2 linked regions of the Stegostoma tigrinum genome follow. The protein of the gene in region 1 purifies or fractionates together with the protein of each later gene. This does not show direct contact. Links are inferred from orthologs where the notes say so. Each region holds a gene or a part of one and is shown on either strand. Other genes may lie near its edges.

Region 1 (13,394 bases):
ATTACAGCTTTGGCCCAAATGTGGACAAAGAGCTGAACTCCAGAGGTGAAGTGAGAGTGACAGCCTTTAACTTCAAGGCCACATTAGACCAAATGTGGCATCAAGGAACTCAAGCAAAATTGGAGTTAATGGTTGGATTCATATGTGCTGCATAGGAAAACAGACATGGTTACTGGAGGTCATTCATCTCAACTCCAACACACCTCCAGGATAGTGCCCTAAACCCAACAATCTTCAGCTGCTTCAACGGTCTTCCTCCACCTTAAGGTCACAAGTGGGGATTTCACTAATGACAGCACACCGTTCAGCACCATTTGTAACTCCTCAGATACTGAACCAGTCCATCTTCAAATGCAACAAGATCTGGGCAATATCCAGGCTTGGGCTGACAAGTAACATTCACACCACACAAATAAGAGACAATCTAACCACTGTTATTTGGCATGAAATGGTGCTGCCATCACTGAATCCCCCACTATCAGCATCCTGGGGGATATCACTGACCAGAAACTCAAACAGATTCAACACAAACAGTGGCTACAAAGGCAGCTCAGAAGCAAGGAATACTGTGGCAAGTAACTTATGTTCTGACTCCTTCAAGTCTGTCTACCATTTATAAAACACAAGCCAAGAGCAAGATGGAATACACCCCACTTGCCTGGATGAGTGCAGCTGCAACAACACTCAAGAAGCTTGATGCCATCCAGGGCACAGCAGCCCACTTGCTTAGCGCTGTATCCAAAAAACAACCACTCCCTTCACTACCTATGCTCAGTAGCAGCCTATCTACAAGATGTCCTGCAGAAATTCAAAAATCCTCAAACAGCATCTTCCAAACCCATCACCACTTCCATCTAGAAGGGCAAGGGCAGCAGATATAAGGGCAAATCACCACCTTCAAGTTTCCCTCCAAACCACGCAGGAGCCTGATCTGGAAATATATTGGCACTCCTTCAATGTCGCTGGGTCAAAAATCCTGGAATTCCCTTCCTAATGGCATGGTGGGTAAACCCACAGCAGGCACACTGCAGTAGTTCAGATGGGACAGCTCACCACCACCTCCTCAAAGGCAACTAGGGACAGGCAATAAATACTGAACAGCCAAAGACACCCACATCTCAAATTAATTTTAAAAATGCACCAGCTGCCTTTGTTTTCTAGGTGTTACAGACCTTAATCTTGGAAGATACCGCTCAAGGAGCCTTAGTGAGTTGCTCTAATACAGCTTCTAGATGCTACATGCATTGCTGTAGCTATGTATCAATGGAAGAGCAAGGGAAAGTGCTGGATGAAAATTTTAAATACAGCCCACCCAACAGTTTCTCTTTATCTATAGCTGATTACTTCTTCAAAAGAACTCTCAAATATTTGTTTGACAATTGCTCTTTCAAACAAAAAAAAATCCATGAAGACTGCTGATATCCTGACCTTTCATAAGTGATATTGGGCAGGTAACAGCCATCAGAACTCTTACTGGGGAGATGACAGCCTAGTGGTATTATAACTGGACTGTTAATCAAGAGGCCTGGAATCAAAATTTCCCATGGGCAGATGGTGAAATTTGAATTAACAAGATGATGATTATGAGTCCCTTATCAATTGCTGGAAAAACCCATGTAGCTCATTAATGTCCTTTAATAAAGGAGACTACCATTCTTACCTGGACTGGCCTGTGAGAGACTCTAAACACACAGCAATGTGGGTGACTCTTAACTGCCCTCTGGGCAATAACATGCTACCTAGCCAGTGATGCCACCATCCTGTGAATGAATAAACATTTTGTTGCAGAAAACAGTATCATTCTTTCTGTTTATGCTACGTTCCCCATATTGTTATGGCAAATGTGTGGGAAGCCACTGCCAGTTTGCACACCCATTCAGTACTGAGATGAGGGGAAATTTCTTCAAAATTGAGAGCCTGGGGAATTCTCTGTTGCAGAAAGCAGTTGAGACTGGAACATTAAAAGTTTTCACTAGGGAGTTAGATACAGTTCTCAGAGATAATGAAATCAAAGAATGAGGAGAAAACGGAGTATAGTGGTGAAGTGGACGATCAATCATGGCCACATTGAATGAAGGCGATGTTTAAAGGGCCTACAACTGCTATTATTTTCTATTTCTGCAATACAACTATTGCACCTCAAGACACAGCTAGAAAGACTTTGTGGGCAATTTCAAGATAATTGTTAAAAAGATAGCAGGGTGAGGTACCCAAAGAATGATAATAGTAAATAATGCTCTATGAAAGACCCCTGGTGCTTTAAGATATCAATATATTCTGTCATACTGAATGTTCTTCTTCGATTCAGGCATACTTCTAGATAAAAACTGCCAAAGCTTTTCATCTTTAACTCACATGACAATCTGTCAAGATTACCAAAACAATATTTTTTCTGAGTGTGATGAATGATTAACAGAGGACTAATTCACCAATGGCACCATCCCCAATAATCAAAGTTCACTTCCAATTAATCAGTACTCTCCTCTCATTCAGCAAGTGATGTTCTGGGGGTTGTTGCAGTGAAATAGTGGTGTCCCCATGCCCAGGCCAGGAAATGGGTTCAAGTCCCACCTTCTCCAGATGTCTGTAATAACCCCTCTGTACAAGCTGATTTTCTTTTACTTTTGGTTAACCTTAAAATTGTCCTGGGTGCAAAATGAAAGCTTCATTAAATTTTTTTTTAAACAGCAAGACATTTAGACATGTCTTCAATCTGCACCCAATGACATGTAACTGATACTAGTTATCATGCATAATGACGATGTTGAACACCCTGGCTTTCCAAATGTAACAAGAGTACTACTGTTCTACTTCCCTTCAAAATACTGTACTCTGATACATAAAGGAAAAGCATAGTTGCAAGCACCCAGATAAAAATGGCATTTAGACTAATTATGTGATTGGGGCCAACAAGCAATCAGGTTAATAGAACAAGAAGAAGTTTGGCATTGAAGCACTTTAATTAAGTGCCAAATGTTATCCCTGGTCCCTGTCCAATTTAGAAACCCCTCAAGTAAGGAAAGGAAAATTGATGAGAGCTGGAACCTCAAACACTAATCAATTTGCACTAGAAGTACCAGTATATGGGTGCCAGGAAAGGTTCAGCAAATTCAAGTACAATGCACTCATATCTAAATACGTAGACAGCCATTTTTCATCCATGTGTTCTGAATTTAGCTATCAGAAAAATAGCAGCATAAGGCATTAACCACTAAACCATGCTTTGGCAAACAGCAAAAACATTCCGGGGAGATAAAGACCTGATTGCAAGTTTAGACGCAAGTACATTCTGCAATCCTAATCCTAAAATTTAAGAATGCTGAATGGCCTGGATAGAGTGGACGTTGGGAACATGCTTTCATTGGTAGGGGTGACTAGGATCCAAGGGCACAGCCTTGGAGTAAACGGAAAACCTTTTAGAACAGAGATAAGGAGAAACTTCTTCAGCCAGAGAGTGGTGAACCTCTGGAATTCACTGCCACGGAAGGCTGTGGAGGCCAAATCACTGAGTACATTTAAGGCTGCAATAGGCAGGTTCTTGATTATCAAGAGGATCAAGGGTTACAGGGAGAAAACAGGAGATTGGGGTGAGGAATTTATCCGCCATGGTTGAATGGCAGAGCAGACTCGATAGGCTGAACGGCCTAAATTCTCTTCCTCTGTCTTATGGTTTTAATCTCTGGAGCGGAAAATCCTAAACATGACATTTTTGTATCTACATGACTACCTTGCTGTCTAAAAATACACTGTCAGGAAATGTTGCCTCTACATTAAGAGTGATAGAATATCCACAATGTGGAAAGTGGCCATTCAGTCCAATAAGTCTGCATCAACCCTCTGAACAGCACCCCACCCTGTGCTCATAATCCCACATTTACCACACCTGAGCCACCTAGCCTGCATATCTGTGGACTGTGGGGCCTGACAGAAACCCATGCAGACATGGGAGAACATGCAAATTCAACATTCAGTCATCCAAGGCTGAAATCAAACCCAGGTTTCTGGTACAGTGAGGTAAAGTGTTTACCCACTGAGCCCCATGATGCTGAATTACATTTACCAATAGATACTAATCCCATTTAACCCTGTGTACAGCTGAATAATGCTGACGGTAGCAAACTCTCCCTTTTCCACCCCATTTGTGCACTCACACCACGATCATTTATTTATCTGACCATATGCTCAGCTATTAGTGAAGTTAGATAATGTGGGATTCAGGGTGAGCTTGCCAATTGGATACAAAATTCGTTTAACATCAGACAGAGGGACATTTCACGGATGGGAGACCTATGACCAGCCCTTTTCCGTAGGGATTGATGCTTGGTCCACTTCTGTTTGTTAATGATTAAATGAGAATATAGGAAGCAGCCTACTACATTAGCAGATGACACCCAGATTGGTATTGTAGTGGTCACTTGCTATCTAAGTCACGAAGAGCTCTTAGTCACTTAGGACAATGGGATGAAGAATGACAGCTGGAGTTTAAGCGGGATAAATGTGAGACTTTGCATCTTGCTAAAACAAACAAGGGCAGTGCTTATACAATTCAAAGTAGGGCCAAGTAGCAGCATTGCAGAACAGAGACACCTAGGGGTTCAGGTACATAATTCTTTGAAGTTTGCATCACATAAATAAAGTGATTGGGAAGATATATAGCATGGTTGCTTTCATCACTCAGACCTTTCACATATAGGTATTGGGATGTCATGTTGAGATTGTACAGGATGTTGGTGAGGCCTCTTCTGGAGTACTGTGCCAGTTCTGGTCTCCCCATTCTCGGAAGGATATTATTAAGCTGGAGTTGGTTCAGAAGAGATTTACCAGTGCATTCCCAGGAACAGAGGTTTAAGTTATTGGAGAGGCTGAATAAGCTATGATTTTTTACCTTTTTACCATTTTACCACAGGTGGTGAGGGGGGGGGGGAACCATACAGAAGTTTATAAAATCATGAGGGCACAGAGGAAGTGAATTGCAACTTGTCTTTTCCCTAAGCCAGGGGATTTCAAGACTGGGGGGGGTCACATTTTTAAGACGAGAGGAGAAAGGTTAAAAATAAAAGACATGAAGGGCTATTTCTCCCCCTTCCCCTCCCCCAGATTGGTTCATGCATGAATGACCTTTTAGAAGAAGTAGATGGATGCAGATACAGTTAGTGTTTAAAAGCCACCTGGGTCAGTACATGAATACGAAATGTTTGGAAGAATACGGACCAAGCACACACAGTGACTAAGATAACAAAGCATGACGCTGGATGAACACCGCAGGCCAAGCAGCATCTCAGGAGCACAAAAGCTGACGTTTCGGGCCTAAACCCTTCATCCGGATGATGTGTGATTTTACAGACTCTATGCTTATTGATAAAGTAAGTCAAATTTTAATTAAAATCATTTATGCTTAAAAGTTAGCAAATAACAAGAGACTGTTCAAAAGTGCCAAAGTATATTGAAACTTGATTGGCCGCTTCAAAAATCCTTAGGCCAATAGGCCAACATACCCAGTTGTACTGATCCATGTTACGATTTCTGCGCTGGATTAATTACGCTTTCATGACACTGATCTCACCGAAACTCACCAGCCAGGTTTTTTTCCTTCCTCCATTGACTTGGTTTCTTTACGCATGAATACCTTTGTGTATGCATCATTGTGATAAACAATATCCAAAGGAACACTAATCTGACCGGTTCTCATACACAATAATAGCAGTACTCTCAACTAAGTAATCTGGGTCGTAACATCCCACACAGGACAGCGGGGGGAAAAATGCAAGTCGGCCTCATGCTTTTCCTACGCGTTTCCTTCTCTTCCGGGGATTCAACCGGATTTGTACTGACGGAACTGCTCCACTCTACTTCAAATCTCGGGTTTCATTTCATAACAATCAAATGGTACCAGCCGAATCTGCATCGATACTCCCCTTCTATGTTTCTCACCTGTGCTGTCTGTTACACCCCCAACCGACGCCGCCATGCTCTCGTTCGGGGTGCAGCTCAATCCAAGCCGCTTCCTCTTTCGGGGCAGGTTTTAACTGGGTTTCGCTTGTGTCACTGTCCCAGTCAATCGATGGCTGAGTGCCGAGGCCTGAATATTCTAACGCAGTCGATCGCGGCAACCTCACGTCAATTTGCCTTCGTCACCACAGTTTGTGTGAAATTTCACAAAAAGAAATATTTACTGCTGCTAATGAACATCGCGCGTTTGTCGGCCGTCAACTCAGTTTCTCTTCTCTCTGGTGTGCAGATGGCGCCCGGAATGAGAATTCTAATCGGGACTACTTTCGCGTCAAAGAGTCTCTCTACTCATAAAAACCCGATCACAATTCCAGAAACGACATAATTCGCAAGTCTTATCGGAAGAGCTTTGTAACTTTATTGAGTTGTCATTACGCATATTCCTTTAGATATTTCAAATTCGGACAGCTTTCCAAATTCATAGGACTCTCGCGGAAGGACCAGACATTAAAACGTGTACTGCACTCATCAATGAATCACAATAGGGTATCACTGCGCATCAGCATTGCGGCGGCTGTGGGGATGGAAGCGCATGCGCTTAAAAACCATTCTGTGGAAAAGTCGAGAATGTTCACGTGAGTTCCTGGAACGATGATCGTGACTATCTTAAGAATTAGTGATAGTTAACTAAGAGCCACGTGGCCTTAAAGGGTGTGATGAAACATAAAAGTGTTTTATTTTAAAATTAAGCAGTTATAGTATGTCGCTCGTCGCTCTTGTTCAGCGTATGAGTATAAATGCAACGTCAAGGCCTGAAGCGATGCGAAGCATGTTATAAAAAAGATTGTTATTTGAGTGGATGTGACAAATTATTTTGCCCACTAATTCCTATATTTATATTGCCTTATAATGTTAAAAGCAGGGTCTTAACATAAGTGATTTTGGTACGAAATTTCTTGTGATCGCTGATAATTTATAATGAAATAATAAGTTTTCTTAAATCATGTTGGTATTATTTTATCTTACACGTGACTAAATGTGGTGGGGGCGTGGGTGGGGTGGGGGTGGGGGTGTGGGTCCAGCCAACTGGTGGTGATAGATGGGCAGTAGTAGTAGGTGTGACCTAGTTTGTTAATGGGAGGGTTCAAAGCAGTTAGTGGTTGGAAGAGAGGTGGCAGGAGATGGGTGGGAGGGTTACTTGAAATTAGAGAACCGTGTTCAGTCCTCTAGGTTGTAGGTGCCCTGGCAGAAGATAAAATGGTGTTCCTCAGATTTGCTTTCTGAATTGTGACACCAAAGGAGGTAGAGAAAGCACGTCAGAGTAGGACAGGAGTGGGCAGTTGAAGTGGATGGTGACTGGCTGGTTAGGTTGACCGTTATAGGCTAGGTCAAGATGCTCGGTGAAACAGTCACCTAGGCTACATTTAGTCTTATCGATTTAAAGAAGACGACATTGGGAGCACCGGATGCAGTAGACTAGGTTGGAAGAGACTGTTTAGGGCTCTGGCTGGAGGTGAAGGAGGTGGTGTTTACAGGTGTTGCATCTTTTACAGTCATAGGTGAAGGTACTGGGGCAGGGTTTGGGGTGGTTAGTGAGCAGTGTGGTGTGAACTAAGGAGCGGCAAAGGGAATGGTCCTTGCGGAAGGCAGAGAGGGGTGAGGAATGTAAGATTTTTTGGATGGTGGGATCTAATTGGAGTTGACGGAAGTGTTTCAGCATGATATGTTGGATGCAGAGGCTCTTGGGGTGGAAAGTGAGGACATGGGAAACCCTATTTTTATGATGTTTTGGGAGGTGGTGGTTTAAAGCTGTGGAGCGGCGAATGGAGGCAACAAGGTGGAGGGCTATCTGGATGAGAGTGGGGAAAAGAACATTACTTGAAAAAAGACAACATCCTGGATGCTTGGGAATGGAACATCTCATCAAAGCACATAAAATGGAGACAGAGGAATTGGGCAAACGGGATGGAGTTTTTGCAGGATACAGATAGGAGATGGTGCAGTCGAGGTAGCTGTGAGAGTCTGTGGATTTATAGTCAATGTCAGTCCGTAAACATGCCAGAAATGGAAACTGAGAGGTTGAGAAATGGGAGGGAGGTATCTGAGATGGACCAAGTGAATTTAAGGGCTGGGTGGAAGTTGTTTGCGAAGTCAATGAACTGCTCCAGTTCACCAAGTGCAGGACGTAGCACCGATGCAGTCATTGATGTAGCAGTGGAAGAATTGGGGAACAGTACCGGTGTATGTACTGAAGAGGGACTGTTCAACATAACCGACAAAGAGGCAGCAGCAGCTGAGGCCTATGCAACACTCCTGTGGATTTGGAGAAAGTGTGAAGAATTGAAGGAAAAGTTATTTAGGTTAAGAACTAGTTCGGCTAGGCAGAGGAGGGGTCTGGATGGGTCTGTTTGAGAGGAAAAAAACTGAGGCCTTGTAGGCTGTCATTATGGGATACAGACATATGTAGGAATTGCATGTTACACGCTGTGATAACAGGTTATCATTCTCATACACTGACTCTCTCTCCCTACTACTCCCAAATCTGCCAAGTATTCAGAGAATGCTGTCATTTGACCCATCAATTAAGTACAAAGCAAATCAGTGATTTATTTTCACTCTATCTTCAATTCTTTGAACCTGAATCAACCTTCTTGCATTCAATTTGCTAAGTCCAAACCAGGCTCACGACATTTAACTATGTACTTGGACTTTGTGAAATCCATGACAAATAATGACATTTTCTGAGGGAACATATTTTGATGCATCTGCAAGGGCAGCACAAATTGAGTATGGTCAACAAGTAAAATATGTTGAATTTTAAATTAAACACTGACTGATCAGCTCTGTATGTAATCGAGTAGCTGCAGGTGGAGTCTGGACAGTGTTTACTAGCATTTACCCTCTCTTTAACTTATCCCTACTGCTGTGCTTGCTTATGGTCCCTCACTCTTTCCTGCTGGTACAGACAAAACAACAGTGAACGGCAGCGAAGAGTTTAGTGTAGGAGTAACAGAGATAGCAAGAACCGCAGATGATGGAGTCAGAGATAACACAGTGTGGAGTTGAGGGAACACAGCAGGCCAGGCAGCAGAGGAGCAGGAAAGTTGATGTTTTCTTCAGAAATGGGGAGGGGGAAGGGAGCTGGGAAATAGATAGAGAGGACGATTGGGCTGGGGAAGGTAGGTGGGATGGTGATAGGTGAGTGTAGGTAGGGAGTGGTGGCTAGGTGGGAGAGAAGGTGGACAGGTTGTGTCAGGTCAAGGCAGCAGGGATGAGAGGGAGGGTCAGACATGGCTTGAAGCCTGGGGTGGGGAGATTTTAAAACTGGTGAATTCTGTGTTTAGGCCATTGGGCTGTAAGGCTCCCAAGGTGAAATGAGGTGTTGCTCCTCCAGTTTGTGGATAGTGTCATTGTGACACTGGAGGTGGTTCAGGATGGACATTTCAGTGGGAAGGGGAGTTAAAATGGTTGGTGACTGGAAGGTGTTGTCATTTGTCACGTACAGCGTGCAGATGCTCTACGAAATGGTCTGTGACGTACAGAAGGCCACAGCGGGAGCCATGGATACATTAGACCAAGTTGACAGAAGTACAGGTGAACCTCTGTCTGATATGAAAGGTTTGTTTTGGGCCTTGAATGGAGGTTTAGGGCAGGTGCAGGAGTTCCTGCAGTTGCAGGGAAAGGTGCCAGGTGTGTGGGGTTAGTGGGTAATGTGGAGTAGACGAGTGAGCTGCAGTGAGCGATCCTCACAAAAAGCAGATGGGGTGGGGAGGGAAATATCTCTTTGGTTGTGGAGTCAGATTGTAGGTGGCAGAAGTGGTGGAACGTGATACACTGGATGTGGAGGTTGGTGGGCTGATAGGTGAGGAGAAGGGGGAATTCTGTATTTTTGTTGGGAGAGGGGGGAGGGGTTTTGAGGGCAGAAGTCCAGGAAATGTGAGAGATGCAGTTGATGGCATTTTTGATCACGGGGGGTGGGGGGGCCTGGGGTGGAGATGTTGCGGGCCTTGAAATTGGAAGACATCTGGGATGTTTGGGAGTGGAACACTCCATCTTGGGAGTAGATGCAGAGGAATTGGGAGTAGGGTTTGCACTCTTGCAGGAGGGTGGGTGAGAGGTGGTGTAGTCTAGATAGCCATGGGATTCATTGGGCTTGAAATACATGTCAATTTCGAGGCAGAAATGGAGACAGAGGGGTCCAGGATGGAGAGGGAAGATGGACCAGGTAAATTTGAGGTTCAGGTGAAAGGTGTGAATAAATTTTCTGAACTACTTGTGGGAGCATGAGGCAGCACAATACAGTCACCTATGTAGCAGAGGAAGGGGGTGGGATAGTGCCAATGTAACAGTGGAAAAGGGACTGTTCCATGTATCCTATGAAAAAGCAGGCATAGCTTGGGCCCATGAGGGGGACTAGTTGGGCCTGCGGGAGATGAAGAAGCAGAGGACTTTTAGGTCATCTGTGTGGGGGATAAAAGTGTATAGGGACTGGATGACCACACCGAAGATGAGGTGTTTTTTTTGGGGGGGGGGGGGGTCGGGAGGACAGATTCAAGGTAAGCAGAGATGAATTCAGCATAGCAGTAATTCTTCTTTGCACCACTCCTACGGTGTATTATTAGTTGCAGGCTGAAGCAAAATTGTATATTAGATTTCTGAGTGAAACCTCAGCATCAGTGCCAAATGTTTGTGCTGAAATTTTGAAGGGATGCACTAATCCCAATATAAGCATTTTCCAAATGTCATATGGACAAAAAAACCTGTCATTTATGTTAACAATGAAACGCAACAAACTTTCATTGTTTGCAGGGTTAAGGACACAGACAACAGATATCACAGATACAACTTTATTTAACTGTCCTGTATACCAAGATGGCCAGACAGGGTGAATCAGAGAGAAAAAAGAGAAACAAAAACAGAAAGGAGGGTCACTGGGCTTAAAACGTTCACTCTGCTTTCTCTCCTAAGATGCTGCCAGACCTGCTGAATTTCTCCAACAAATTCTGTAATTGTTTTTGATCTTCAGCATTTGCAGTTCTTTGTTTTATTTAAGATGATGATGGGGTTTGGGACCAACTTCATGTGTACACAGATTTGAGAGTAGCATATAACTAAGGATGAGTGTAATCATTATTTCTCTAAACTGTTCAGCCACACTGCTGTCACTGGTGCTACCCAGGTATACAAGTATGAAGATAAACAAAAAGGTAATAAAGTATATGGAAAGCCCACAACCTCCAAGTTATCCTTCAAGTCACTCCATCATCCTGAATTGGAGATACATCACTATTTCTTCAGTGCTGCTTTAAAAAAATCCTGCCTGTCCCTCCCTAACAGTGTTATTGAATATTATTTCAAGAGAGCAACTCACCACCACCTTTTCAAGGGCAATTAGAGATGGACAATAAATGCTGTCCAGTGATGCCAACATTCCATGAATGTGTTTTAAGATCAAACACACTAGACCCTAGAATCTACAGTGGAGTGACAATATAAAATATCCAAGAAGAACAGGAATTGAAATAAATAATATTGTGATGTAACTTAAAGAGGTTATATCCAGATAAAAGCTGCATTCCGAGTCCATACTTTCTTTACATTTGTTGTCAATGAACAATTTAGAGACATTTTAGCCAATACCAGAAATCTGAAAAATGCATTTCTAGAAATACAGGCCAATTACGATCTGACAGAAAAATGGTTTAATGTTTCAGACAAGATCTTGTCAATCAGCAGTCTTAAAAAAGGTCAACTTTGATGATCAGCATGGAATCAAAATTTTACAGTGCAAGAGGTAAACATTCAAGGTGGTATACAGTACCTTGACATCATGGATGATAGTCTTTGGATTGCTCTCTGCACACTACAGACTGGAAGGTTAGAAGAGAAGATTAGAAAAAATACGTGGCTGTAGTGCGAATGATGTAGAAGGATCCACCTGAAGAAGAAGCAGCGCTTTGAAAGCTTGTGATTTCAAATAAACCTATTGGACTATAACCTGGTATTGTGTGACTTCTGACTATGTAGAGGATTGAGTGCTTGCACTATTGAACCAAACTGTGAAGCAAATGAAAGTTGTACACAGGGAACAGTCATCACTTGAACTAAAACTCCATCAAAGTCCTGAAACAACAGCCAAAAGGAGCATCTAATACAGTAGGATCTGGGGTAACCTGATTTAGAACTAAAGAGGATGATTGATTATTAAAGCTTTTGAAATGAAAGGCATGACTTAATTAAATGTAAATGGGGTCAGAGTAGAAAGAGAAGCAATCAATTGTACTGATATATAAAACTTAACACAGCAGAAAAATACACAAGGCTGAAGATTCCAGTAATTCAAGAGCCAAAACTGAATTATACACATGTGAATGCAAAACACAGTAAGTCAGAAATTACAGTATCTATGGAGAGACATGATATAGTATCCATAACAGGGATGTGACTTAAGGTTGAACCAATTTATAACCTTAATACTGTATTGCTTAAAACATTCTTAGGAGAGCTGGAAATGAAGCAAGTGAGGTAAGATGGCAGTTTAATAAAACATTCTGGAACAGCACTGAAATACACAGTTGTTCTAAGACAGAGTTCAGAAAATATGTAGGGAAATTGTACATTGTTAATGATCCAAACACATACCATAGAATAAAGTTTGGAAGATTTAGTTATGCTCAAGCAATAAAGATAACGTAGATTGTAATGAGGAAAATATTTTAGAATGAATATATGACTGTTGCTTGATCAGTATGTATTTATTTCAATTCAGTTTTGGAGAATTTCAGGGGAAAAACTAATTGACATGACAGTAGGAGAACTGTGGTTTAATAATCATAACGTAGTTCCATTCAAAAGGATAATACACACTCAAAGATTACAGCATATTTGAAGAAAGGCAAAGTTTAATATGATAGGAAGGGGTCTTTTCAAATTAATGGGCAGAAAAATTAGCGATGGCCCAGTGGTTCAGAGTAGAAATCTTTCAAGTGGATCATGGAGAGCACAAATTAATATCAAAAGGGTAAAAGTAAAAATCAAAATTGAATTAATTGCATAAATAGGTTGATTAAAATTAAACAATCCTAACAGGCATGCAACAAGTTAAGGATAACATGGAAGATATTAAACATCTAAAAATTCACATAGCTAGTTTTCTTAACAACACAATGATAAAAGCATTAAATAATGAGGATACATTCTAAACTGAGTCTTATATTCTAGAATGAAAGTGATGATCTGCTTGGTGATTACTAGTTGATAAAATACTTATTCAGGTGGAGGATGTCCAAGGGGTATAGTCTTAAAATGAGTGATAGGCTGTTGAGAAATTATGTCCAAAAGCACTGTCACGGGATGGAAAACTGGAATACTCCTTGTAAACGATTCCCTCCAGTCTTTTCAAATGCATCTATGAACTACATGATTCCTGATGAAGGAGGAGGTGA
Region 2 (12,661 bases), on another chromosome or scaffold:
AATTGAGCCAATACAAAATGTGGCATCAGTGTACTATAAATGTCAAACCAGCTAGAGCTCCATATTTCAAAATTTAATAATGGAGTGGCCCAAACCATTAAAGTGTTTCCTCAACTCTAGGACTGTTGACTCTTGCTGACATGACTCATTACATCAATAGATGCTTCTTAGCAACTTCCCAACTAATGTGGTTTTTTCCAATTCCTCGCCAATTCCTGTTCTTAATAGATAATTGAAATCTCTCAACAGCATCACTTTTGATTGATCGGCCATCTTATTGAATTTATTAGAAAAACTATGTCTAAAGGTTTTGCAAACATTTAGCATTTCCAAAGTGTAATTGTGATTGTTTTTGTTGTAATTAACATGCATATGAGATAAATTGCCTCCAGGTCATTATCTGATTCAGTTGGCTTGTCACAGCAGTAACACTTGTATAATATGTCTCACTACAAAATAACTTCTAAGAGTTCAGGGAGTGAAATATTCAGAATATCCTGGTCCATCAAAAGAATGTACATGAAGAAATTGTAATAAAGCACAGAAATTTTGAGAGATCTAAGACCTTCCATCAGCTGTGGGAGATTGTGATGAAGCATCAATAACAATGCAGGTTAACTTCTTTGGATCATCCATCAGTAGCTACTTCTACACAAAAAGCTACCATTGTGACTTTTTCCTCTTTTTTTTCTCCTTACTAGCTCACTGATCACTTTTTTTATTCTGGATTCTATTTTTATTTAAATGTCTTTGACCCTCTCTGATTTTTTTTTGCTTTCAAGTAATCCACATCCTTGGCTATGAACTCACTTAAATCTATTTCTGCTTTTCAGTACCCACCTTTTGTGGCCTTTGTGCATTGATATTGATGGTTCCCTGACTAGTTCCTTGTTTTTCATGACACACTCATTCCCTGTTCCATCTGAATTCATTATTTTTACCATTTGTCCTCGAGTGAGAATACTTCTCCTAGTTCCTATTTTTCTGCTTGCATCCAGTATAACATCTCAGTTGTTGTTGATGACTTAGAACCAAAGCTTCCATCTCTAATACCTTTGTTTCAGTAAAATCCCTCACTGATTTCCAATTCTACCATTTCTGGATGCAATCCCATCTTGGTAGCCTCAAATCAGAGGGCCATAAAATCAAGTCCGCGATACATCTTCCTCACCTTTATAGAAAATTATCTCCTTTTTCCTGTATGCAAACTTTGCAGTGTCCCAACTGCTGTAGCTCCAGACTGCTGCTACTACTTTTTCTAATTTTCTCATCTCTCCAGACTCATTTTCAATGACACCCACTTAATGATACCCTCTCGTCCACACAACTTTTCCTTGTGGTAGCTGATATTGTTAATGACTTCTGCTTTTTAGCTGCATCAACTGCTGTCATCTTTTCCTAATTGAAAAATATATTGTAGATCTATGCATCCTGTAACGAAATACAAAACTTCTAATCAATCCATAATTATTCAAAGATGATAGGAACTGCAGATGCTGGAGAATCCAAGATAACAAAGTGTAGAGCTGGTTGAACACAGCAGGCCAAGCAGCATCTTAGGAGTGGGAAAGCTGACGTTTCTGACGAAGGGTCTAGGCCTGAAACATCAGCTTTCCTGCTCGGCCTGCTGTGTTCATCCAGCTCTACACCTTGTTATCCATAATTATTCAAAGCCGTGTGAGATCAATTTTGATCGAGAAGTGATTCAAGGGGTGCAAATAAGCAAAATTGGAGTTTAGACCAATACCACATCATTCTCCTTCATGATCTTATTGAACGGTGAACCATGCTCAAATAGCCAAATGAGCTACTGCTGCCCCAAAATTCTATGTTCCTATAAACTCAATGTGCCATTGCGTTCTCTTCCTTTACTGGAGCCATGAATGACATTGGGTTGTATTCTTTGGAGCAGAAAAGGTTAAGGGGGATCCTGATAGAGGCATATAAGATTATTAGGGGCATGTACAGGGTGAATAGAAAAAAGGAGTTTTCTTTAGTTGCGGGGTCTGTAACGAGGAGGCATAATTTTAAAATGAAGGGCAGGCGGTTAAGAGAGAATTTGAGGAAAACTTTCACTGCCTGGAAGGATAGCTGAAGTGAGAGACTCACAATCTTTTAAAAAGTATTTGGATGAGTGCTTGAAATGCCGTCATGCTCAAGGCTTTGAGCCTAGTGCAGGAATGTGGGATTATTGTTGGTTGGTGGTAGTATATCTTTGGCCTCTTTTGTCCTGTATGATTCTATGAAACATAAGGAGTAATGTTTATCTTTAACATCTCCAAATAGTTGACCACACCATTCTGTAATTCCCAACAATTCCATTGCTCAGATTCATTGGACTTCCTTTACATGTTTATATGTCCATCTCCTAAGGTATAATCTCTATCATTCTACACAAAAAGCTATCATTGTGACTTTCTCCTCCTCTTTTTTTTCTTCTTACTATCCATCAACATCATGCCTGAAGGCTGTCTTGCCACTCACCTGTCCTCTTCAATCACTTGTCTAGGATGTTTGCACCAATCTCTGCAGCTTCATCCTATTGCTTTCCATTGCATCATAATGTAAGCGTTCAGGCTATTGTGAATATGCAGTTTTGTGAATCTGTTTTAAGAGTTTAGCTTTCATATTCTAAGTGGAAGAAACAAAACCTGGACTGAGAAGATGGTAAACAAGGCATGGAGTTAATTGCAGGTCAAAGAAAGGTTCCATATTTATGTGCTAAATACACATTTAGAAGTGATTAACACTTCATAATGGTTGACCTCCTCGTGTCTAGATGAAAATTATGGGTTTCCAGCTGCCTCCTTCACAGGGTATAAATTATTAATGTGTTTTCCAGATTCGAAGGGATTTTTTTGAAGGTAAAATTTAGTTCATTTGGATCTTTAACTGGAACACCTCAGGTATGCCAAGTTGCTATGGAAATTGGTTATGCAGGATGCACTCTTTTCTTTGGATTTACTTGTGTGTTATCTCTCAGGAACATGTCATTGGCTGATTGGGGTCAAATTTAAGACAGGTAATTGAAAACCGGTCAACAACTGTGAAGAACCAATGGATTAGTAGGTAGAGGGCTAATAGAAACCAAGGTAGTTTCTGATGGAGAGATAGTCTGAACTGCTGATGCTGGAGAATCTGCAATAATAAGGTGTAGAGCTGGATGAACGCAGCAGTCCAAGCAGCATCAGAGGAGCAGGAAAACTGATGTTTTGAGTCTGAACACTTCATCAGAAATTCAGTTTTCTGAAGAAGGATCCAGACACGAAATGTCAGCTTTCTCACTCTTCTGATCCTGATTGGCCTGCTGTGTTCATCCAGCTCCACACCTTGTTATCTTAGTTTCTGATGGAGTTGCTGTTTTCTGTCAGAAATAGCTAGTACACTTGGGAGCATTTATAACATCGATGGTTGAAGACTGTCAGGAGAAGTAAAGAAGCTATGGACCAGTAGCAGTAGGCAACTGGAAATCAAAGGTATTTTTCTGATGGAGTCATGAAGTAAATATGCAGGGATTTCTGCACTTCAGGTGAGGTGTCCACAATTATGAGGTGCTTGGGGAAGAGTTGAAAAGTTACAAAACCAGATTCTGTTGGAAGAACTCATGAAATCTCATACGTCAAGGGAATCAAAGTGAATTCCTGAATGTTGTGGTTTGGTTTGGCCTTGGGAGATCTGAAGGAACAGCAAGATCCTCTAAAGTACAGAGAAATTCTTGGGTGAAATTAAATAATCAGGCAGTGATCAGTTGAGATTTTCAGACTGAAAGAAAAAGGCTTTATCCCAATATAAACCTGGATTTGCACATTGTTTCAGTATTTCAGCAGGTCTGACACATCAATGAAGAGAAAAACAGAATTATCATCGGGTTCAATAAAACTTTTCAGGGCGGCACAGTGGGTCAGTGGTTAGCACTGCTGCCTCACAGTCCCAGGGATCCAGGCTCAATTCCACCCTTGGGTGACTGTGTGGAGTTTGCACATTCTCCCAGTGTTTGCATGCATTTCCTCCAGGTGCTCCGGTTTCCTCCCACAGCCTGAAGATATGCAGGTTGGGATGGATTGGACATGAAAAATTGCCCATTGTGTTGAGAGATATATAGATTAGGTGGGTTATAGGGGGATGGGTCTGGGTGGGATGCTCTGAGAGTTGGTGTGGACCAGTTGCGCTGAAGGGCCTGTTTCTACTCTGTAGGGATTCTATGAACTCAGAAGCTGTTGCCACACCTACTGAATTTCTTCAGCATTTTGTTGTTATTTCAGATCCTCAGCATCCACAAGATACTGCTTATATTTTGTCCAGCATTTTTTTCCTACTCCAATTGGTAAGAGTCTGTAAGGTCATGGTGGCCATTTTTAGTAGTACCTATTTTGACAGCTGAGAAAGCTTTGTGAAGGTCAACATGAATACTTTACTGTTGCATACCTTTAAACCCGTGCATTTGTCCAAATGCCATTCTAGACCACTTATCATTTGGAAGATGGATAAGAGTCAGATAAAATTAGATTGGTTAGAGAATAGACTTCATACCATTATTTTTGCCATTTGAAAGTAAACCTTAGACAGAAAGCTTAAGTAGTTTCTGACTTCTAAGAAGAAATTTTTATTTAGCATTTGCTAAATTTCAGTTTTTAATACTTAAAACTATCCTTTGAGAAAATATAATGCAAACATTCATTTTCTTCAAATTCAAGATTTTGAGATATTTCAGGTATTCTTTCATGTTAATACATTACCCGACTTTCTTTTAAGACTTTCTACCAGTACTTGGAAACTGAACAGGAAGTGAGGTTGCCAGGTGGAGTGAAGCATTTTTCTTAATATTGCAAAAATGGGATTTATGTTTAGAATTCGAGTAGGTGCCAAAATATCAATAAATGTATGAGAAAGCACATAAAGAATTCTAAGAGCAGAACCCCATGGAAACTAAATCTTTTAAATGATGTTGCTTCTGCTTTAATATATGCAGTAAAAGTAATTAAATATTGGTGGTATTTCCAGCTTTATTTATGGTGTATATATATATATATCGATATAGATCCAAACTAATTTCTTGTAATAAGGCCTGGATGATGGCAATGATGATATCACTAGACTAGTTATCCAGAGGCCCAGGTATATGATATGGGGAATGCCATTGTTGGACTGAAATGGACAAAATCAGAAGTTAAATGACACCAGATTCTAGTCCAACAGGTTTATTTGAAATCACAAGTTTTCAGAGCTTTGCTCCTAAAGGAGCATACTATAACCTGGTGTCGCCTGAGTTCTGACTGTCCAGAGATATGAGTTCAATCCCATGTTTGCATTCAGTTACTTTCTGTGGAAAGTAAAACTGGCCATCAGCATTTGTATCAGTGATAATGGGAACTGCAGATGCTGGAGAATCCAAGATAATAAAGTGTGAAGCTGCATGAACACAGCAGGCCAAGCAGCATCTCAGGAGCACAAAAGCTGACGTTTCGGGCCGAGACCCTTCATCAGAGAGCCCGAAACGTCAGCTTTTGTGCTCCTGAGATGCTGCTTGGCCTTCTGTGTTCGTCCAGCCTCACATTTTATCATCATCAGCATTTGTAACCATGATGATTACCATTGATTGTTGTTACCAAATTCGATTACCAAATTCTTTCGGGAATGAAGCTATTCTGTTGGCCTACGTGTGACTGCAGACCAGTGCAATGTGGTTAACTCTCAATTGCCCCCTGAAGTGGCATTTGGAAGCTACTAGGGCAACGGGGAATGGGTATCCCACGAAAGAATAAAGGGAAAAATAAATATCTAGTGTTGCACGTGTGATACAGTCATGGCAACTATTTTAGAAGCTGCTGGCAGTAGTTTCTACAATATTATGCTATTGGTAGGCAAAAGGGAAAAGATGTGATGCATATACGTGTAACCTTAGGTACAACGAGGGACTGTGCAGCTTGCAGCGTTGCGCTGGGCTTGACCCCGCCCCTCGGTCACATGGGCTGGTGTCACGTGGGGTGTTCGCAATGGCGCCGTCTCTCTGGCGGAGCCTATTCTCGGATTGAGGGGACACTGCCAGCCGCGTGTCGGTTTTGACCCGGGACCAGGCTAACGCAGTTGTTAGCCCGGAGTGTCGTGGACAAACAAAAGACACAAACTATCTACAGCCCTTTACCCCGTGAGTAGCGCTGCGCATTTGGTGGCCCGTGTCAAGGCGCTGGGAGTTAGGCCCCAGGGTGCACGGTAGGCCGCGAGAAAACTCGATGTTCGAACGGCCTGAGCTGCTTTGTTCCCGGACCTGGAACGTCTGTATGGCCAACTCTGAACCTGCGAAGACGGTTCTTCCGTATTGTTGGTGGCTCGGCCCCTCCGGTGCGCGGGTTTAGCAAGGCTGAACCGTTGGAATAAACCATCCGCTGTTCCAGTCAACCTCTCTCCCCCCCCCCCCCCGTTTAAGTCTCTGTGGGATGGTATATCTGCTTTACAGCCTTTACGTTTTACTTATCTCGGATTAATCCATAGCTCATAATGCGGGAGTGAATCGGATTAAATATATGCTACGTGCAGATATGATGAGGGACGTTTAGTTTGCGCTTGGCCCTGTTGGACGTGGGTTTGGGTTATATTACACCAGTAGGAAGCTGTCAAAGGATATATGTACCACGTCCCGGAATTTGACATGAACATTTAGGCAAATACTTCTAGAGATTTACATAAACAACTGAAGATTGTCTCTTTACTCCTTTCCTGAAACTGACTTTAGGTTACTGAGTCTGATGAACCAATTCATGTGCTGATAATAGGAAAATAGTAGCCAAATTTAAAAAAAACTCAGCAGGGAGCACCTGTGCAGCAAAAAAATCACGTTGACTGACTTATCAGCATGTGTGCGCAAATACAAGCTTGAGGAATTGGTGAAAACGACAAATGATCTTCAGCTCAATAAAAAGAGGCATATGGTAGGGAGCCAAGAAAATTATGGCTAACTTTTACTCAAACAATTTGAAATGTTTCCAGTTCTGGGCATCATACTTTGGGATTTGAGGGATTTCAGTTCCATGGGATTGATTAGAGCTAGGATGTGCACCTAGGTTTGAGAAGAGACTTGATAGAGCTGTCCAAAAGTATGGATTGTGCAGACAATTGACAGAAGGAAATGGTCCCTATTGATAGAAGACTTGAGAACTGGAGGGTGCAGATTTAGGCAACAAGAGGCAAAATAATGTAAATGCAGTGAGTGGTTAGGACCTGGAAGACAGGCTAGAAGCAAACTCAAACATTTTTTTTCAAAAGGGATTTGCATGAACACTTGAGAAGTGAGATATTGCAGGGCTACAGTTTAAACAAAAGCCAGTGTGAGACTAGCTGACCTGAGAGCTGCCTTGTACATGGTGGGCTGAATTGCCTCCTGTGTCGTAAATTCTGATTTGACTCGTGACTATTATTGGAGACTTTCAGTTCTAGCTCTCCTGCTCCTATGCTGCTTGGTCTGCTGTGTTCATCCAGCTCTACACCTTGTTATCTCATATCCTCCAGCATCTGCAATTCCTACTATCTCTGAAATAATGTGTTTATAATTGTTGTAGTTGTAGGAATTAAATATTTTGGACAGCAAAAGTATTTTCTAGGACTGGCTTGAAATATGCAGTAATTCTGGACCCTTGGGACATGGTTTATGTAGTCTCTCCCCAATTTTCAATTCAATGTAATATAGTATATTTGTTGAAACTGCTACATTTCCATGAATATCATGATTCAAGTATATACGTGCAACTAAATTATTCGCACATATACTTGCCCATAACAACTATTTAGATCAGCTGGCCATACCTAGAAAAGAGCAGTGGCTTAAGGGTTTAAATTATGTTTAATTATTTCTTCCGCAATACTAGATACTGTACCACCTCCTGGTATATCACCTAATCTGTCAACTGAAACTGTTTTTCAGTAATTTAAATTTCAGGTAACTGTTTCACTGATCCATTTATTAGTGTACCACAGTGTGGTAAAAATGCAGCAGCATGATTGCTATGACTAGTACAGTGAGATTTTTACTCCCTAGTCAAGTTTCACATGAGCAATAATGGTACCTAACTCCATTTCAATACCAACTCACTCAACCGCTCAACTAAAAAATGAAACATGGAAACAAAACAGAAGTCACTGGAAAAGCTCAGTAGGTCTGGCAGCATCTGTGAAGAAAAAAAACTGAGTTAATGTTTTGGGTCTGGTGACTTTTTCTCAGAACTGATGGTGACTGGGAAAACGTCAGTTTATATGCAGAAAAAAAGGGGAAAAGAATGGGGTAGGGAGTAAATAATCAGATAGAGCCTAAAGAAAGAGAGAAGAGCCGTTCGACAGAGTTGATAATGATCAGGCTGGGAGGGTGAATAGATGTTAATGGGGACTATTAATGACTAATAACAGGTAGCGTGTCATGGCAGGCTCTGGTAACAGGGCCTGGTGTGTGGGGTTGGGGGCTGGGACGTGGGAGAGTTTTTAGGTCCTAAAATTATTGAACTCAATTGAATCTGGAGGGTTGCAGGGTCCCCATGTAGAAAATCAGGCGTTCTTCTAGTTTGCAACGAGCTTTGCTAGAACACTGCAGCAAGCCAGCGACAGACATGTTGGTCAGGGAACAGGGTGGTGCATTAAGGTGGCAGGTGACGGCTAGTTTAGGATCTTTTTTGTGAGCAGAACGTAGATGTTCTGTGAAGCGGTCACCTAGTATATGCATTGTTTCCCCACTGTAGAGGAGACCACATTGTGAGAGGCGAATGCAGTAGACTAGATTCTGGGAAGTGCAGGTGGAGTGTTGCTTAGAGCCCTTGGATACTGGGGAGGGAGGAGGTAAATGGGCAGGTGTTGTACCTTCCATGCTTACAGGGAAAAGGTGTCATAGGGCTGTGGGGGGGATGTTGGGGCTGAAGGAATTATGGACTGGGGTGTCCTGGAGGGAACAGCCCCTGTGGAAGGCAGACAAGGAGACAAGCTCTCAACTACTTCATTTGCAATTTTTTTTTCATTCATTCATGGAATGTGACTAAGAATTAATTGCCTTCAATAATATAATGGTGACCTGCCTTTTTGAACTGCCGCAGTCAGGGGTAAGTAGGCCCGCAGTGCCTTTTAGGGAGGGTTTTTCAGGATTTTGATCTCATGACACTGAAGGAGCAGCAACGTACCTCCAAGCAAAGGTGGTGAGCGGCACAGAGGGCTGATTGCAGGTGGAGGTGTTCCCATGTATCTGCTGGCCTTTCCCTTTTGGTTAGTAGTGGTCATCAGTGTGGAAGGTGCTGCAAAAGAAGCCTTGGTGAATTTCTTCAGTGCATCTCATTGACAGTACACACTTACTGAACATTGATGGAGGCTGATGAAGCAGAGATTGAGTTGATTGTTATAGAGATGCAGCCGCCTGGTCTTGGTGATGGCACAGATAATTAGAAGCTCAACTTTGTAATTCTAGTGTTATGTTTGTTACTAAGTTGTTTATGCCTCAGATTGTTGCCACAGAGGGATTGACATCAGTGGCTTTGACTCCCTGCTATTTAGGTGGAGGAAAGTCCTGTTCGATCAAGTTGCTGACCACTAACATTCCCGAAGTTTGTTTAAGTACCACGTGCTTCAGAAGGATAATGTGGTGGTATGGTAGCAGTGCACTCGCTGTTTGTACTACTTCTGTAAAATTCTGAGATAACAAGGTGTAGAGCTGGATGAACACAGCAGGCCGAGCAGCATCATAGCAGCAGGAAAGCTGACGTTTCGGTCTAGGCCCGAAACGTCAGCTTTCCTGCTGCTATGATGCTGCTTGGCCTGCTGTGTTCATCCAGCTCTACACCTTGTTATCTCAGAATCTCCAGCATCTGCAGTCCCTACTATCTCTGTAAAATTCTGCTGTGTTGTATTTTGATTTAATAGCGAATGAAATTGAGATTGTTTAATGTGGCTGTGATAGTGATTTGCTGTAATATGTTAGCGTTGTTTTGCTCCAGTCGTCATCCAGTACTGAAAATCTAATGTTATATTAAATTACATTTGGACCTTAAATGGGGAAAATGCACACACTCGTCCTTATGATGCAGTAATATGGTTGTGATAGTTGATAAGATTCTGGCTGCTGTCTGTGAATCTTAACCTTGCAGGTATTTCTTTACTGTGTCAATGTGATATTGTGGAGAATATGTTTGGTTGCTACTAGAAGCAGAAGTTCAGCTAGCAGACAGTCTTAAACTTAGTGACAAATTCAAATTGGTGTAGATTGGAACTTTGACTGTCCTAATTGCAGTGTCTACCTGTATGTTTGATATTTTTTAAATTCAAGATTTTCTCCAGTGCCATTTCTCCCACTTATTTCCTTTATGTATGGTGTGAGTTTTGGATTTTAGTACACTTATTTTTTCTGGCAGTTTGTGTGATGTATGTACAGGAAGGGCTAGACTTATGTCCTGTGGTGTTTAGAAGAGTCAGAGGTGACTTCATTGGAACACAGGATACCAAGGGAACTTGATTGGATGAATGTGGAAAGGATGTTTCCTCTTGTGGAATGGTCCTGACTTGGAAATGCAAACTTTCCTGCTCCTCTGTTGCCTGGCTTGCTGTGTTCCTGCAGCTCCATACTGTGTTGTCTCTGACTCTGGCACCTGCTGTTCTTGCTATCTCTAGAACTAGGGTTTATAGCTTAAAAATAAAGGGTTGCCAATTTGAGTCAGATGAGGAGAAACAAAATTTCTCCTTGACAGTTGAATGTCTTTGAAATTCCCTTTCTCAAAGGGCAGTGGATTCAGGACCTTTAAATATTTTAAAGGCAGAGGTAGATGGATTCTTGATAACCAAGGAAATGGAAAATTATTGGGGCTATTCAGGAATGTAAAGTTGAAATTAAAATCATATCAGCCATGATCTTACTGAATGGCAGAGCAGGCTCAAAGGGCCACATGGCCGACTCTTGTTTAAATGTTAATATACTGTCAAAGCCACTTTGTACGCTGTGCAGAGAATTTCATGTTAGTTGTTTGAACTCCGACTGTGATTTCAAAATTCTTGTGTTGTAGCTGCTTTGGTTCAGTTGCTTCCAAATAAAAAGTATTTTTGCCATCTTATTATATTCTGGTCTTTTCCACTTGAGTCCAATTGTTGCATCATTATTCAAAACTGCTTGAAATAATGAACGCAAGGCCAAGAATACATGTTATGCTCTTACTGTTCAAAATAATAAAAAGTTGTCTTTTGTTGACGGGTCTATTCATGCGATTGTGCACTTGCCACATGTTGGGCTTAGTCATACAGCGCAGAAACAGATCCTTCGGCCCCATTTGTCCTTGTCGACTGATTTCCTAAACTGAACTAGTCCCATTTGCCTGCGTTTAGCCCATACGCCTCTATATTGTTCCTAGTTATGCACTTGTCCACATGTCTTCCTCAGGAACTCTTAAGTGCTCATGGTATCTGGGAAGGGAGCATATGACTGTCATGCCCAACAGGTAAGGGTTAACCTACACAGTTCATGACTAGTACATTTCAAACTCCTTTTAAATTTATTTTAAATCCTTAGGATTTCTAATAGTGGTATATTCCATATATTTAATGAAATTAGTGCTGGTTTTACATTTATCATTCCTTTTGTCTCTCCTGTTAAGTATGGAGTTCATTGGTATAAGTAAGGAAATAATACTTATGTTGCGTATGGATTGATAAGATCAGTCACCTTTAGAGTGAAACCAGGAAGTGCTGACAATACTGAACTGGTCTTGCAGTATCTGTAGAGAGAGAAAGTAAGTTAACATTTTGAGTCCAATATGGCTCTGAAACTGGTGCTAGAAAATGATGGGGCTGCTAATGGGAGTAAGGAAGAGATGTAATAGAATCATACAGTATAGGAGAAGGCCATCGTGCCTGTACTGTCAAAAATACACCACTATCCTCATTAGTCCCATTTTCCTACACTAGAACAGTAGTCTTGAATTTTTTTTGGTATTTCAAGTATTCATCCAAGTACTTTTTTAAAGGTTGTGAGATTACCTGCCTCCACTGTCATCCCAGGCGGTGCATTTCAGGCCCTCAACACCGAGGGGAAACCTTTACCTCAAATCCCCTCAACCTCCTGCCTTTCACTTTAAAAGTGCGTCCTCTTGTTCCTGACTGTTCAACAAAGAGGAACAGCAGCTTTCTATCCACCATGTCCATGCCATTTATAGTCTTTTGCACCTCTATCAGGCTCTGACCTTTCACCCCGACCCCAACTTTTTCCTCTCGAAAACTGCAGCAAATAAATGCAGAATAGTTGTTGTGTGTTAATCGTAGTTGAGGATAGTGCTCATGCTGTCACATTGAAATAAATGTTGAGTGCTGAAGACTGCAAATTTCCTAGGTGGAAAGTGAAGTGCTGCACCTCCACCTTGCAGTGGACTTATGACACAAAAGTTAGTATCAGAGCAAGATGATTTATCGAATGGAAAGCAATTGGAAGTTTGGTATCATTCTTGCAGACAGCGCAGGTATTCTGCAAAGTGATCAATCAGCCTACGTTTGTCATTGTCAGTGGAGAGCCAGTAACATTGTGAGCAGCAAATGCTGTGGATTAGACTGAATGATGTAGAAGTAAACCATTGTTTCAGATGGAAAGTGTGTTTTAGGCCTTGCACAGGGAGAAGGTAAAGGGGGAGGTTGTATATCTTCTGCCGTTGCACTGGAAGGT

What was found.
Region 2: the proteins of UDP-N-acetylglucosamine--peptide N-acetylglucosaminyltransferase 110 kDa subunit (region 1) and death-inducer obliterator 1-like purify together in Homo sapiens (affinity purification with mass spectrometry; 3 studies listed by BioGRID and IntAct, with this or other methods). This does not show direct contact. The link is inferred for Stegostoma tigrinum from reciprocal best matches to the Homo sapiens genes OGT and DIDO1.

Annotation. Positions count from the first base shown.
Region 1 is NC_081368.1:40,711,389-40,724,782, forward strand, and holds the start of UDP-N-acetylglucosamine--peptide N-acetylglucosaminyltransferase 110 kDa subunit, read right to left. Parts: upstream 6,309-13,394; 5' UTR 5,969-6,308; coding exon 5,932-5,968; intron 1-5,931. UniProt on the Homo sapiens protein: Catalyzes the transfer of a single N-acetylglucosamine from UDP-GlcNAc to a serine or threonine residue in cytoplasmic and nuclear proteins resulting in their modification with a beta-linked N-acetylglucosamine (O-GlcNAc).
Region 2 is NC_081372.1:5,457,758-5,470,418, forward strand, and holds the start of death-inducer obliterator 1-like, read left to right. Parts: upstream 1-5,979; 5' UTR 5,980-6,145; intron 6,146-12,661. UniProt on the Homo sapiens protein: Putative transcription factor, weakly pro-apoptotic when overexpressed. Tumor suppressor. Required for early embryonic stem cell development.